3 linked regions of the Canis lupus familiaris genome follow. The protein of the gene in region 1 purifies or fractionates together with the protein of each later gene. This does not show direct contact. Links are inferred from orthologs where the notes say so. Each region holds a gene or a part of one and is shown in the gene's direction. Other genes may lie near its edges.

Region 1 (3,560 bases):
GTGAACACAACTCTCACATATCACTTACATAAAAAATGCATTTTGTTGTGAGATGTAAATTCTTTTTTTTTTTTTTAAGTTTATTAAGTAATCTCTACACCCATCCGGGGGCTCAGACTAAGAACCCCGAGATCAAGAGTCCCATGCTCTTCCAGCTGAGCCAGCCAGGCACCCCATAGAGATGTATTTCTTTCCTAATGAATTTGCATTACCTAGACTCATTTTATTTTAGGAGTAAACAAAAGGTAAGGAGGTAGGTGTTCTTCGATTATACCAATCTTGTAACCATTGTATTTTATGAGCCAGGGATATCACAAAGCATAAATCCTACAACTCATGCTGAAGCACTCCCCAGCTTCCCCCAGTTAGCTTCACTGGGCCACACAGTTTATTTTTGTGTCATTCTGAACCTAATGGTGTATTTGTTTGAATGCCACGTTCTTTTCTCAGCCTCCCATCTCATATTCTGCGGACAGCTCTAAATTAATATCCGGATACATCATGACAGACACTTGCCATTCTTTGTGACATTTTGTCATACCTTTACTTGTTCTCTGAGTTTATTAGATTTTTCAGGCTTACACACACACACACACACACACACACACACGTGCGCTTAACACTAGAATCAACTATTTATCAAGTAAATATTTTGTTAAAATTATTTTTGAAATGGTATCTTACGTAATAGTAATGTAATGTCAAAATGAACCTGGTAGCTACTGAGTCAGATTCCAGGCATGAAAACAGAATCTAAACCAGGTAGTCGAGAAGCGGGAATTTAATCGGAGGAAACAGCTGCAGAGGTGTTGGAAGAGTGCGAACCAGAGGACTGTGGGTAACTGGGTCGGAGGGGAACAGCCGCAGACAGCCGGCCTCTGGAGGAGGCAGGAGCCAGCTGCCCAGCGGGAGCTCGAGCCGGAGAAGGCGGCCTGCCCGGCGTTGCGGGCACCCTGGCGGCGGCCGCTGCCCGAGGCCCCGGCTCCGGGGAGATGAGCGCACAGGCTTCTCTGTTTCTCGGGACCGTGGCTCTCGCGGTCTGTGTCCACCTGGAGCCCCGTGGGCCCGGGATGCGGAGTCCGTGTGCGGAGCTATCAGGGCAGGGTGGCGAGGGGTGGCCCTGAGGGCAAGCAGGCGACACGCGCACAGTCACCAGCCTGCACCCGAGGTGACGCCGGTCCGCCCAGCTTTGAGCCGGGGGTTGTTAGGGACGCACCCGCCCGCAGCGGCTGCTGCTGGTGGGCTTCGGCCGGCTGGGTACCGGGTGCTCTCCGCGCGCAGCCCACACTCCGGGTCTCAACCTTCACTCTTTCCCCCAAACCCGGCTCCGTGCCACGCGCGCTGGGTGCCACCCTCAGGCTTGGGGGCGGCGGGGCCCCCGATGGCAGGGAACGCTCCCGCAGCAGCCCATGGGCCGGCCAGGCACCGAGTGGCGTGGACAGCCCGTGACCGTTACGCGTGGATTCACACGGCGGGGTGGCGGGCGTGCCCCTCCCGTGGGCCTCAGTGGGGTCCGCCTTACCTAGTGCTTCGTAGCCCTCACCCCCCCGCCCCCACTTTCCTCCTGGGCTCCGAGCGGGACGTGCCGGGGCTGGTGCGGCCCCCCCGGGAGCGCAGGGCCACCGCCATCTGGGACCGTGAGCGCAGCCAGGGCCTCCCAACACCTCGTGACATGGATACGAGAATCCGAGTCTTGTGTGATGTTCACACTCCTAGGCCTTTTGATCACGTGTCATCTCGGATCCACAGCCGAACGGACATGACAGCGACTGGGCTGGTGGGCCACAGGCCCCCCGCCGCTCCAGGTCTGGGGTGGCTTACCCCGCTTACTTGCCGTCATTCCCCTATCTGCGTTCCTAATTATAGAGCGCCTTTGCACCTTGCAGCCTGGGGAAACGGGAAGAATCTCCAGTCATATCAGAGCTAACATGGGTATTAATAGCCTGCCAGCTTTTGGGCGTCTGAGGGTTTTAAATTCAATGACACGGATTTTAGCAGTTATTTGACAAGAATGACTTAGAAGAAAATGTATTTGCGACCCTATACAATATTGCACTTATCAGTTGGGTGGATATGGAAATTATTCAGTATAACGTCTGTCTAACTTGCAATTTACAAAGTACTTTTCACACACATCTTGATCTTCACAATATCCTTGTGTACTAAGCCTAAAGGTTTTATTCCCCCTTTTTATAGATGGGGAAACCAGCATGAAAGGTTAAATGACTCGCTTGGGGTCCAGCGGTTAGGGAGTGGCCGACTGAAGCCCCCGTGCCCATCAAATACTCGAGGAATTTTAGAAATAAAAGGAAGTATGACATCACGTTTAAATGTTTACGAACGCGACGCTAAGGATCCAGTCCTGGTAACTCATGGAGCAAGCGCTCAGGAGCCCTCACCTCCTGTGTTACTTCCTTAGGCTGTGGCTCACATAGAGACACCCGAACTGAAATTTATTAGTGTTTGTGATATTTAGATCATCATTTTTAAAATTCAATTAGTATTTTAAAGATCATAAAGTAAGATGTTTAAGTTCCTATTAGCATACTGAAATGCCCAAGCGTGATTTAGAACTAAAGCTCCTAGATTTCAGTGCTTGTGGAATGAAGGCAAACCTGTAGCCCTTTTCCTTTTCAGCTCCGGCACTGGATGTTGATTGGCAGAGCAACAACACCTTTGCTTCTTGTAGTACAGATATGTGCATTCATGTCTGTAAATTAGGACAAGACAGACCTATCAAAACATTCCAGGGACACACGGTGAGTAACCTTCTTTTCGCCCTTGAAAGTGGTTATGATGACTAAGTGATACAGCAGGTGGCTTTCAGGGATGTGTGTTTAATGTCCAAAGAGCAACGCAGTCTGTACCGTGAAAATGTGACTGTGCCCTGTTCTCTTTAGAATGAAGTAAATGCTATCAAATGGGACCCAACTGGCAATCTTCTGGCCTCCTGTTCTGATGACATGACTTTGAAGGTAATTGAAACAGTGGGGTTGAAGTGGCAGTGGCCGTGTCCTGAAGAAGGGCTGCTCTGGCCATTTTTAGATTCTCGAGAGCATCTGTCCTAGCGTCCATTCGACGCCTTAACCGGGATCAGGATTCACTCTACTTTTTAATAGTCAATCGTTATTTATTTGTTTTGCTTAGTATTCCCAGTGTTTAGATATAGCAAAAAGAACGCTTGGTGGGAATTGTGGCACTAAGAAACATGCTGTCTGCACTTCTCGAAGGTCATATACTGGTGCGGTTCAAGTTCTATTTGCACGTGTGAAAATTTGACAAGTAACAGATCTTCGTCGCATTCATGGATTTTACCGAAATTCTGTGGATTGTGTTAATTTGATTCTGTGGTGTGAATATATATCATCCTTGCTGGGAAGCTGGGCTGTAGCACAGCATTGCTTAGTTGCTGAGTGGGTCTAGCTGACATGCCTGCATCCACAGCTCGACATGAATTTATGTTTTTCTTGTCAGTGTGACTAGAGACAAAACTACCACCTTGCATGTGTGCACCTCACATTTAGGAACAAAAAGCATTTTGAGATGAAGAACAGCCTAAT
Region 2 (4,044 bases), on another chromosome or scaffold:
GGGACCAGAGTGGTAGCAGTGGAACTGGGGAGAAGAATCCTAGTATATTCTAAAAGTAGAGCTGAGGGGATTTACTTAGGGATTGGATCTGTAGGATAAGAGAGAAAAAGAATCCAAGATAATTCTAAAAGTACATGATAGACTTTCAAACCATTCCCAGCATATCTTTGGATTCCAAGTCTGTGTCCTGATAATGACAAAATATATTTAATGAAGTCAAATAATACCTTACACAAATAGTTTATTAGTATGTAGATTGAATTCAGAGGGAACTGGGATCCAGGCTGAAGGCCCTGTCTCCGTTCAAGTAGTTAAATGGCTTTGATCTCAGATAAAAAGGTTGTGATTCAGCTTTAAAGTGTTATTATCATTTTATGCGCGCAGTTCATTCTCATCCTTGCAATATAAGGCGTACAGCTATAACGACATGAGAGCAAAGCGCAAGTTTTTAAGTACATAAACCTGTGCTCCCAGTCCTGCTCTTACTGACCTTTATAGTATATGCCCCAGTAACGTGCCACGTTTTTTTAAATTACAGGAGATTTAAATAAGTTGGGTGTCAAAGAAAGATGGGATAGCTTTTTCTTTTTTCCCCTGTAAGCCTCAGTAGTGGTGTCCAGGCTTTCATTATTTCCACCTCAGAAAAGGGACTGGTAACAAGCTGAGGCAAGCCCAGACTGCCTGGGAGCTGTACTTAAGTGCTATCCTTTTCTTCCCATATCAAAGGATTTTTAATGGTTTGGGTTCTGACACGAATGATGGGCGCTGGGAGAAAGTGAGCGAAGCCGGCCCCGGTCATTACCCACAGCCTACCGTCAGGTACCTCCGTGGGGGGGGAGGTGGTTACGTTCAGGCCGCACGGAGTCCCGGTTCCCGGGGGCGGGGAGGGGGCTGTTCCGTGGGTCTCCGCTGGGCTTTCGGTCGTTCTAGGGTCGGGACAGAGGGGGAGAGAGAGAGAGAGAGAGATCCGGCGGTCACGTGAGGCCCCCTGCCCGCGCCCGCCCCTCCAGGTGCCTCGGAGGCCGCGGGGCGCGTCTCCTCTGGCCTCGGCCCGGGCGGCCCACCCTCGAGGCCCCGAGGCCAGCGCCCTCCCGCGGGCACCGCAGCCCCCAGCCCGGCGGGCGGCGCGCTTGTCCTTGTTTGGCCACGCGGCAGCGGCGGTGTCGGCGCGTCCTCCCGGGCCGCCCCCCAGCGGGCGTCAGAGGGGGGCGGGCGCCCCGCGCGGTGACGGCGACGCCTGCGGCCGCCGGACTCTCCACTCAACGTCGCCCGAGAGGCCGGTGACCTCTTGGCCGCCCCCGCCTCGGAGGCTCAGATGGCTCAGGCCAAGATCAACGCGAAAGCCAACGAGGGGCGCTTCTGCCGCTCCTCCTCCATGGCGGACCGCTCCAGCCGCCTGCTGGAGAGCCTGGACCAGCTGGAGCTCAGGTGAGCGGCGCGGGCGGGCGGGCGGGCGGGCGGCAGGGCGGGGGGCGCGTGCGCGGCGGGCGGGCCGCGGCCGGAGAAGTTGCTCGCCTGAGATTTGTTCCCCGCGGGGACCGTGCGCTGCCGCCCGGCTCGGGGGGCCGCCGCCTCCGCGCCAGAGAAAGCGCGTTCGACCCAAGCGAGAGCCTGTGAGCGCGGGAAGGGTGGCCGCATTCTCCTGAACAGACCTGGGCTGTGGGGAACTGAGAGGATCACAGAAGGTAAGAGTTACGGTGGCGTTCTCTGAGGTTAGAGACCGTGACACCCCGTGACACCCCGGGTCTACTGAAGGTCTAGAATTTTCTGAGTGCCGCTATGTGGTTCCCCCCAGATGTCTCTAACTTCTCTTTTTCTACTACGCATCTGTAGGAAAGGCGATAGTTCAGGGGTTCCCCCCACCCCATGTGACTGATAAGTTTCTTTGCTCCAAAACACAGAGAGAGAGAAAAAAACAGTAAAAATCTAGAAATCTGTCTGAGAGCAAGAAGAGGGAGGAGTAGGACAGATGAGGGGCCGCGGGGTGAACGGCGGCTGGGCACTTGGTGGAGGAAGACCCTGCGGCTTCCATTTCCCCCCTAACCCCGCAAACTGAATTCAGAAATTCTGTTAGTTTCTCGCTATTTATTGTGTACCTCCTTCCTTAGAAGACACCTTCTCGAAAGTGCTAGTCATTGGCCTGAAAGCATAAGATAGGTTTTTTTTTTTTTTTTTACTCTTCCCCCTCCCCCCCTTAACTTAGGCTTGTATACAATTTCTAAATAACGAACAGCAAATTTTGGAAATTATTGTTTCCCTTAACAGCGTCTGAAAAAACTTTCACGTACTTCCTCTAAGAGTTTGTCACCAAAGTTACTGTGTAAATGGTGTGCAGGTGTAGATAAGTCAAAATCTTACTAAGACTCCACAAACCCCTGAGGCCATACCGATTCTTCCCCCCTCCTCCCCCCCCCCCCCCCGTAGTTTTCATCGGGTTCTGGGTGAGCAAGGAAGCACGTCAGCCAAAAATTTTAAGAAGCAGCGCGTGCATGTCTATCTCCCTCAATTTATATACCAAAGCAAGAAGAGGGGTTTATTTGCCAGGACAGTGCATTAATAACCACAATATATCTCAGCAGTTGAGGCATTTATGATTATTATTATTACCCTGAGAGAAGAGTCGGAAAATGAGAAATTCTCCATCCACAACGATTTTGTGGATGACAACAGATAGAGAAACCGCAGTCCAAAACCACCTTCTAGGGTTCTGCCCAGAATGACACATATGGAACCAGAGAAAAAGTAATGCTTCCCCTGGGTTGAGCTTGATGCATTTACTCCCCAGAGAAAGTGGAACAAAACTAGAGATCGGTGGCTTCAGCTACTTAATGTCGCCCCAAAGAATAATATTTCTTTTGGTGTAGCAGCACATTACAAGTAACTTACACATCTCCCCAGGTGTTTAGAACTTTGATGTGTTCCGAAGCATTTCAGGGCTCTCTTGGCACTATCAGAAAAGATTTTTTTCTGAAAGGAATGAGGAACGTTGCCCCTCCCTTCTTCAAGCTGAGTCATTCCCCTCAAACTTGAATGAACATCTCGTGTCTGATAGACACAAAAGCAGTCAGGTACTCATCTTTAAAAGAAGGCCTCTGGTTTTGAGTATTCGTATATTCTAATGTTTGATTAATGTAAAGTGAACTGATTATTATACCAGTGATTAGATTATGACTTGCTTAATTAACCCTTGAGCTGAGGAGGAAAGACTAAAATGTGCTAATTGCTCATTTTAAGGACTTCTTTAGTAGTTTTAAGACTTTTGTAAGCTTTGTTTCTTCCTTTAAAAAAAAAAAAAAAAAATGTAGGGCAGCCCAGGTGGCTCAGCGGTTTAGCGCCACCTTCAGCCCAGGGCCTGATCCTGGAGCCTCCGGATCAAGTCCCATGTCTGGTTCCCTGCTTGGAGCCTGCTTCTCCCTCTGCCTGTGTCTCTGCCTCTCCCTTTCTCTGTGTGTTTCTCATGAATACATAAATAAAATCTTTAAAAAATAAAATAAAAAAGTGAAATTGAGTTTTTAAAAAATAATTAAAATTTGTAAAAAGTAATTGTGATCTAAGGAAGTGTTTTAAAAGGTAGTAAAAATAGTAAAAATAAAGAAAAATACTAATGATCCGTTAAAGTTCCTTTGAAACTACATGGGCAGTGTCACAGAACCCCACATTGTTAAAAACTAGCATCATGCCTAGAAGCTTTGTAAAAGAAACAAATAGGTAATTTTGCTCTAATAGTTCAATTTCATATTAAGGATGACTCATAAAGCATTGTTTTAGGTAGAATAAAACACTGTAGTTTGATACTTAAAGTTTGCATATAGTTCCCCAACTGATTTTATCACTTGTGGTAGACCTTCTTCCATATGAGACTAAAGACAGAATTATGCTAAATGCTTTATGCCTAATGGTGGGCATGATTTTTTAATCACGTATGGCAGCATTCTATATTGTTGAAGGAATTCCATTTGTTTCTAATACTTTACCATGACACTAGCCTCTTTCTTGACTCCACCTCTTTTCATTTTTTGCTTCCTCTTAAAAAAGTGATTCCTT
Region 3 (4,320 bases), on another chromosome or scaffold:
CAAGGTACAGATGCATAGAAAGCTCTTGAACTACTCAAGTAAATGTGAATTACTCTTGAGCTCCCTGATCCTTCTTGGAGAAGATGATGCTGTGCAAGAAATGAAACACCAAAAGAACATCCCCAACAAGTATCATTCCCCTCTAACCTCTAACCGGGGGAGAACAGGAGGGTTAGAGGTTAAAGAGGGAATTAATTCCCTAGCTTGGTTAATACACGGAGAATTTAGAACAGTGCTTGGCACATAAGGAGCATTCGGTAAAAACACACATTCGGGGTGTTCTCTGCCGCGCTCCAGCTCCAGCTCGGGCTGCAGTGTTGACGTTCCAACAGGCTGTCCTCCTAGCCCTGGAAACACCGAGAGGCGCCTCCTCACATCAAATGAGACCATGCCTTTTCTTGGGGCTCAATTACAACCAGACTTCCGGTCATGAAATCCAGAGGTGCCCTCTTTTCCTGGAAACTCTAGTTTTGAGTATCCTAGCACAACAGGCATCCACATTTCCAAAAACCTAACCCTTCTTCAAATCCTTTGCCATTCGTTTCCCCAAGAATGAAAACGTGCGCCAAAGCTCTCAGACCCGAAGCCCCAGGACGCGGCAAGTGCCTTGCGTCCGGGCAGACCGGCGGCTGTGCGAGGGCAGGCTTCCCTCGCTCACCTGCATCCCGCCCGGTCGTGGGGAGACCTCGGGCCGAAGGGGAGTGCGCGAGGGGCACGGGCGCGGGGCCCCTCGACGCCTCCTGAGCGAGAAAAAAAGCGGCCGTCACGAACAGGATTCGAACCTGTGCGGGGGAAACCCCATTGGATTTCGAGTCCAACGCCTTAACCACTCGGCCACCGTGACTCCCCAGACCGCGCTCCGCCGCGCGCTTACAGGAGGGGCCGCGCCCCCGGGCCCCCCGCCTCCACGGCGCTCCGAGGACAGCCGGGCGGCCCCCGGAGGGCCCGGCGGACGGGGGTGGCCCTCCCCGGGAGGACGGGTCTCCCAGGCGCCGGCGAGGCCTGCGGGGGGCCAGCTGGGGGCAGCGGCCGGCCGGGGCGGCGGGGGGCGGCCGAGGGCTCCTCGGGTCACCGCGGCAGGGGGCTGGCCGGGCGTGGGGGGCTCGGGCGATGGGAGCAAGGCGCTTCCTGGGCAGGGGGCCGGGGTGCCCGGGCCGTGCGGGCTCGGGGACTGGGAGCGCGGGGCAGGGCCGGCCTGGCTCCCCGGAGGGCAGGGCCGGGGGGCCCTCCGGCGTCCGCTTGGGGCGGGTGGGCGGCCCCCCGCGCCCTGGGCTGAGAGGCCGCGGGAGGAGAGGCTTCGCGCCGGGGAGGCCGCGGGGGAGGCCGCCGGGGAGGCCGCCGGGTGCGCCCCGCGTCGGGAGCCGCGCCGCCGCCGTGGCCGAGCGGCCGGCAGGGGGCGCTGCGCGGGCCGGGCCGGCCCAGGCGGCGGCAGGCGGCGGCCGCGGCGGCGGGAGGCGGCGGGAGGCGGGCGGAGGAGGAGGCGGAGGAGGCGGGAGCTGAGCGGCGCGGGGCGGGCGGCGGCGGGCCCGAGCCCGAGAAGATGGCGGTGCGGAAGAAGGACGGCGGCCCCAACGTGAAGTACTACGAGGCCGCGGACACCGTGACCCAGTTCGACAACGTGAGGCTCTGGCTCGGCAAGAACTACAAGAAGGTACGCGGGCAGGGCCGCGCGGCCGGGGGCGGGACAAAGGCCGCGGCCGCCCGCGCCCCCCGCGGCCCCCGCGGCCCCCGCGGCCCCGTTTCTCGCCGCCGCGCGGCGAGTCCCGGCGCCGACCGCCCCCGCCCGGGGCCACAGCCCTGCGGGCCCTTCCGGGAGAGGCGGCGGGGGGCGGACGCGGCGCCGGATGCCCCCGGCCCAGCCCGCCCGCCGGAGCTGCCCCGAGCCGGGCCGGCGGCGCTGAGGCCTCCGCGGGCTTTGTGTCCGCCCGGGAGGCGGTGGGAGCGGGCGGGTAAACAGGCGCCGGGCAGGCCGGGCCCGCGGGCGGCAGCGCCCCCCCACCTGTCCCCGCCGCCCGCCCCACGGGAGCCGGGAGCTCGCAGCCCCGGGCACAGCCTCCTGCCACCTCACAATGGAGCCCCCGGCCGCTGGCCTCGCACCGCTCGGGTCCGGGGCGCCGGGCCCAGGACGCTGCTGCCTCAGCCCCCGTCCGCGCCTGCAGGTGACAAGCGGCTGAACAAAGGGCTCAGAAAGCCTTACCTGACTTTCCGTCGAACCTCCCCCGGCGCTGTCTTTGTCTCGGGGCCCGGCCGAGAGGGCCGTCCGCCCCGGCTGCGCCCGCGGACAGCTCGGCCTCCGCCCCGCGCCGCCCGGTGGGAGGCTCGCCGTCGGCCCGGCTCTTCCTGCCCAGCTCCGCAGCCTGTCAGGAGCTGCCGGGCGCTTAGGAGTCCGCCCCCCGGCCCGGCCGCGGCCCTTCCCCCGCGGCTCCTGACAACCAGCTGCCGGGCCGGGGGCGCCTGCACCCCAGCGCGAGGCCTCGGCTCCCAGGCCTCCACCTTTGACCTTCCGGAAGGTCCGGAAGGGAGATGAGCGGGGGCTTAGTCTCTGGCCGGGGGGCGGGGGGGGGGATGGGGGGGCTGACGGCCCTTTGTCGCTTACCCTCTGGTGCGAGGCGCTCTCTACATCTCCCACTGAGAGGAGCGCTGGTCTCTGTGACTAGGGTTGAGGAAGCAGGGGTCAAAAGGTAAAGAGAAAGTTAGCCTCCTGGCTCAGATTTAAATTAGAACAGGAGGCTAGGATACTAGGTAGCGGCACATGGAAATGCGTGAGAAGGCCCGGGGTTGCTTGTCTCAGATACTGTTTCCTCAGAAAGCATCAATGTTTTCTTGCTCTTCCTCACCAGGCTGGGTAGGAGCTGGTCCTTGCCCCCTCGAAGGCGTTTGTGCCCAGTTCCTAGCAGAAGCAGAAGGCCCGGCTGGCACTCTCCGTCTGTTTGGCGTGCCTCACTTCCTTGCACCTTTCTTGTTAGGCTATGTTGCAGGGGGAGTCTCGGCCTCCACAAAGTTACCCCCAAGAAATACACTGTGGTCTGGCTTAGAGCCTCAAAGATACTGCTTCCTTTGCCTGCATTTACTGAACCTTCAGGATCTTACCGCCCTCAGTGCTGTTGACTAGAAATCAGGATCCTACAACTAACAACCAGTTTCAGAACGTAGCTGACAAGTAGGAAGCCCCACTTGCCTCCAGCACCGGCTGCTGGCAGGCTGGGTTGGGGGCAGCAGAATTTCAGCTTCCGGTGAGGGGCTTAGATGCCTTCCCTTCTGCCATTTTCTTTATAGAAACTAGACATGTGGGGGAAGGAGACACTATTTTTTCCACCCCAGATGCTTCCAGGGCCCCTTGGGAAAAAATAAGGGAGATAGTGGACAGTTTGTCTGAGGTCTACTTCTCTTCCGTTTGCCTCTGTTTCCCCAGTATATACAAGCTGAACCACCTACCAACAAGTCCTTGTCTAGCCTGGTTGTACAGTTGCTACAGTTTCAGGAAGAAGTTTTTGGCAAACATGTCAGCAATGCGCCGCTCACTAAACTGCCGGTGAGTGCAAATGCAAGGGGATGAATCCTCCAAACTGGAGAGGGAACTGTGGGGTTTTTGTAAATCTCATACTTTTGGAGATGTGGGTAATTGCCTGTTATCCCCATTCCTGGTCAGGGCGTTACTGGCTTGCCTTGGTCCCCAATTTACTCCTCCCTTTGTCTTAGTAATACTTGGTGCAGCGAGGTGCACCTGACTGGCTGAGTCGCTGCAGTGTGCTACTCTTGATCTGGGGGTTGTGAATTTGGTGTTGCGTGTAGAGACTTCTTAAAATCTCTATTCTTCTTAAAAAAGAAAAAAAAACTTTATTCAACAGGTTATATGTCTGAGCTCGTACATGAAACTCTTGTGGCATGGTTGAAAGGGTACAAGATTGGGATTTGCATTGGCTTGTGTTCAAATCCTGGCTCTGCCACTTGGTATCTCTGTGATCTTGGGCAAGCCATTTAAACCTTTTAAGTGTCTGTTTTTCATCTCTAGATGGGAATAATATCTCTACCTTGTAGGGTTTCTGTAATGGTCAATGAGGTGACCCAGTAAGTACGTGGCACAAGATGGGGCTTTGTGAATACTGGTTTTTTTCTTTCCCCCTTCTTCCAGGCCACGTGATACTGTGGCATAAGGGTTAAAGAATTCCACCTTTGGGGGCACCTGGGTGGTTCAGTCGGTTGGGCCTCCCAACTCAATTTTGGCTGAGATCTCGAACTCAGGGCTATGGGATCAAGCCCTGCATGGGGCTCCGTGCTCAGCGAGGTGTCTGCTTAAGACTCTCTCCCCCTCTGCCCCTC

The links. Proteins that work in one complex are often made in the same cells at the same time.
Region 2: the proteins of TBL1XR1 (region 1) and BAG2 purify together in Homo sapiens (affinity purification with mass spectrometry; 3 studies listed by BioGRID and IntAct, with this or other methods). This does not show direct contact. The link is inferred for Canis lupus familiaris from reciprocal best matches to the Homo sapiens genes TBL1XR1 and BAG2.
Region 3: the proteins of TBL1XR1 (region 1) and SMARCC2 fractionate together in Homo sapiens (co-fractionation; 3 studies listed by BioGRID, with this or other methods). This does not show direct contact. The link is inferred for Canis lupus familiaris from reciprocal best matches to the Homo sapiens genes TBL1XR1 and SMARCC2.

The regions. Positions count from the first base shown.
Region 1 is NC_049255.1:40,838,831-40,842,390, reverse strand, and holds part of TBL1XR1 (F-box-like/WD repeat-containing protein TBL1XR1), read left to right. Parts: intron 1-2,637; coding exon 2,638-2,759; intron 2,760-2,900; coding exon 2,901-2,975; intron 2,976-3,560. UniProt on the Homo sapiens protein: F-box-like protein involved in the recruitment of the ubiquitin/19S proteasome complex to nuclear receptor-regulated transcription units. Plays an essential role in transcription activation mediated by nuclear receptors.
Region 2 is NC_049233.1:24,621,802-24,625,845, forward strand, and holds the start of BAG2 (BAG family molecular chaperone regulator 2), read left to right. Parts: upstream 1-1,200; 5' UTR 1,201-1,315; coding exon 1,316-1,428; intron 1,429-4,044. UniProt on the Homo sapiens protein: Co-chaperone for HSP70 and HSC70 chaperone proteins. Acts as a nucleotide-exchange factor (NEF) promoting the release of ADP from the HSP70 and HSC70 proteins thereby triggering client/substrate protein release.
Region 3 is NC_049231.1:853,885-858,204, reverse strand, and holds the start of SMARCC2 (SWI/SNF complex subunit SMARCC2), read left to right. Parts: upstream 1-1,476; 5' UTR 1,477-1,540; coding exon 1,541-1,651; intron 1,652-2,041; exon of another isoform or gene 2,042-2,069; coding exon of another isoform or gene 2,070-2,159; intron 2,160-2,397; exon of another isoform or gene 2,398-2,510; intron 2,511-3,412; coding exon 3,413-3,532; intron 3,533-4,320. UniProt on the Homo sapiens protein: Involved in transcriptional activation and repression of select genes by chromatin remodeling (alteration of DNA-nucleosome topology).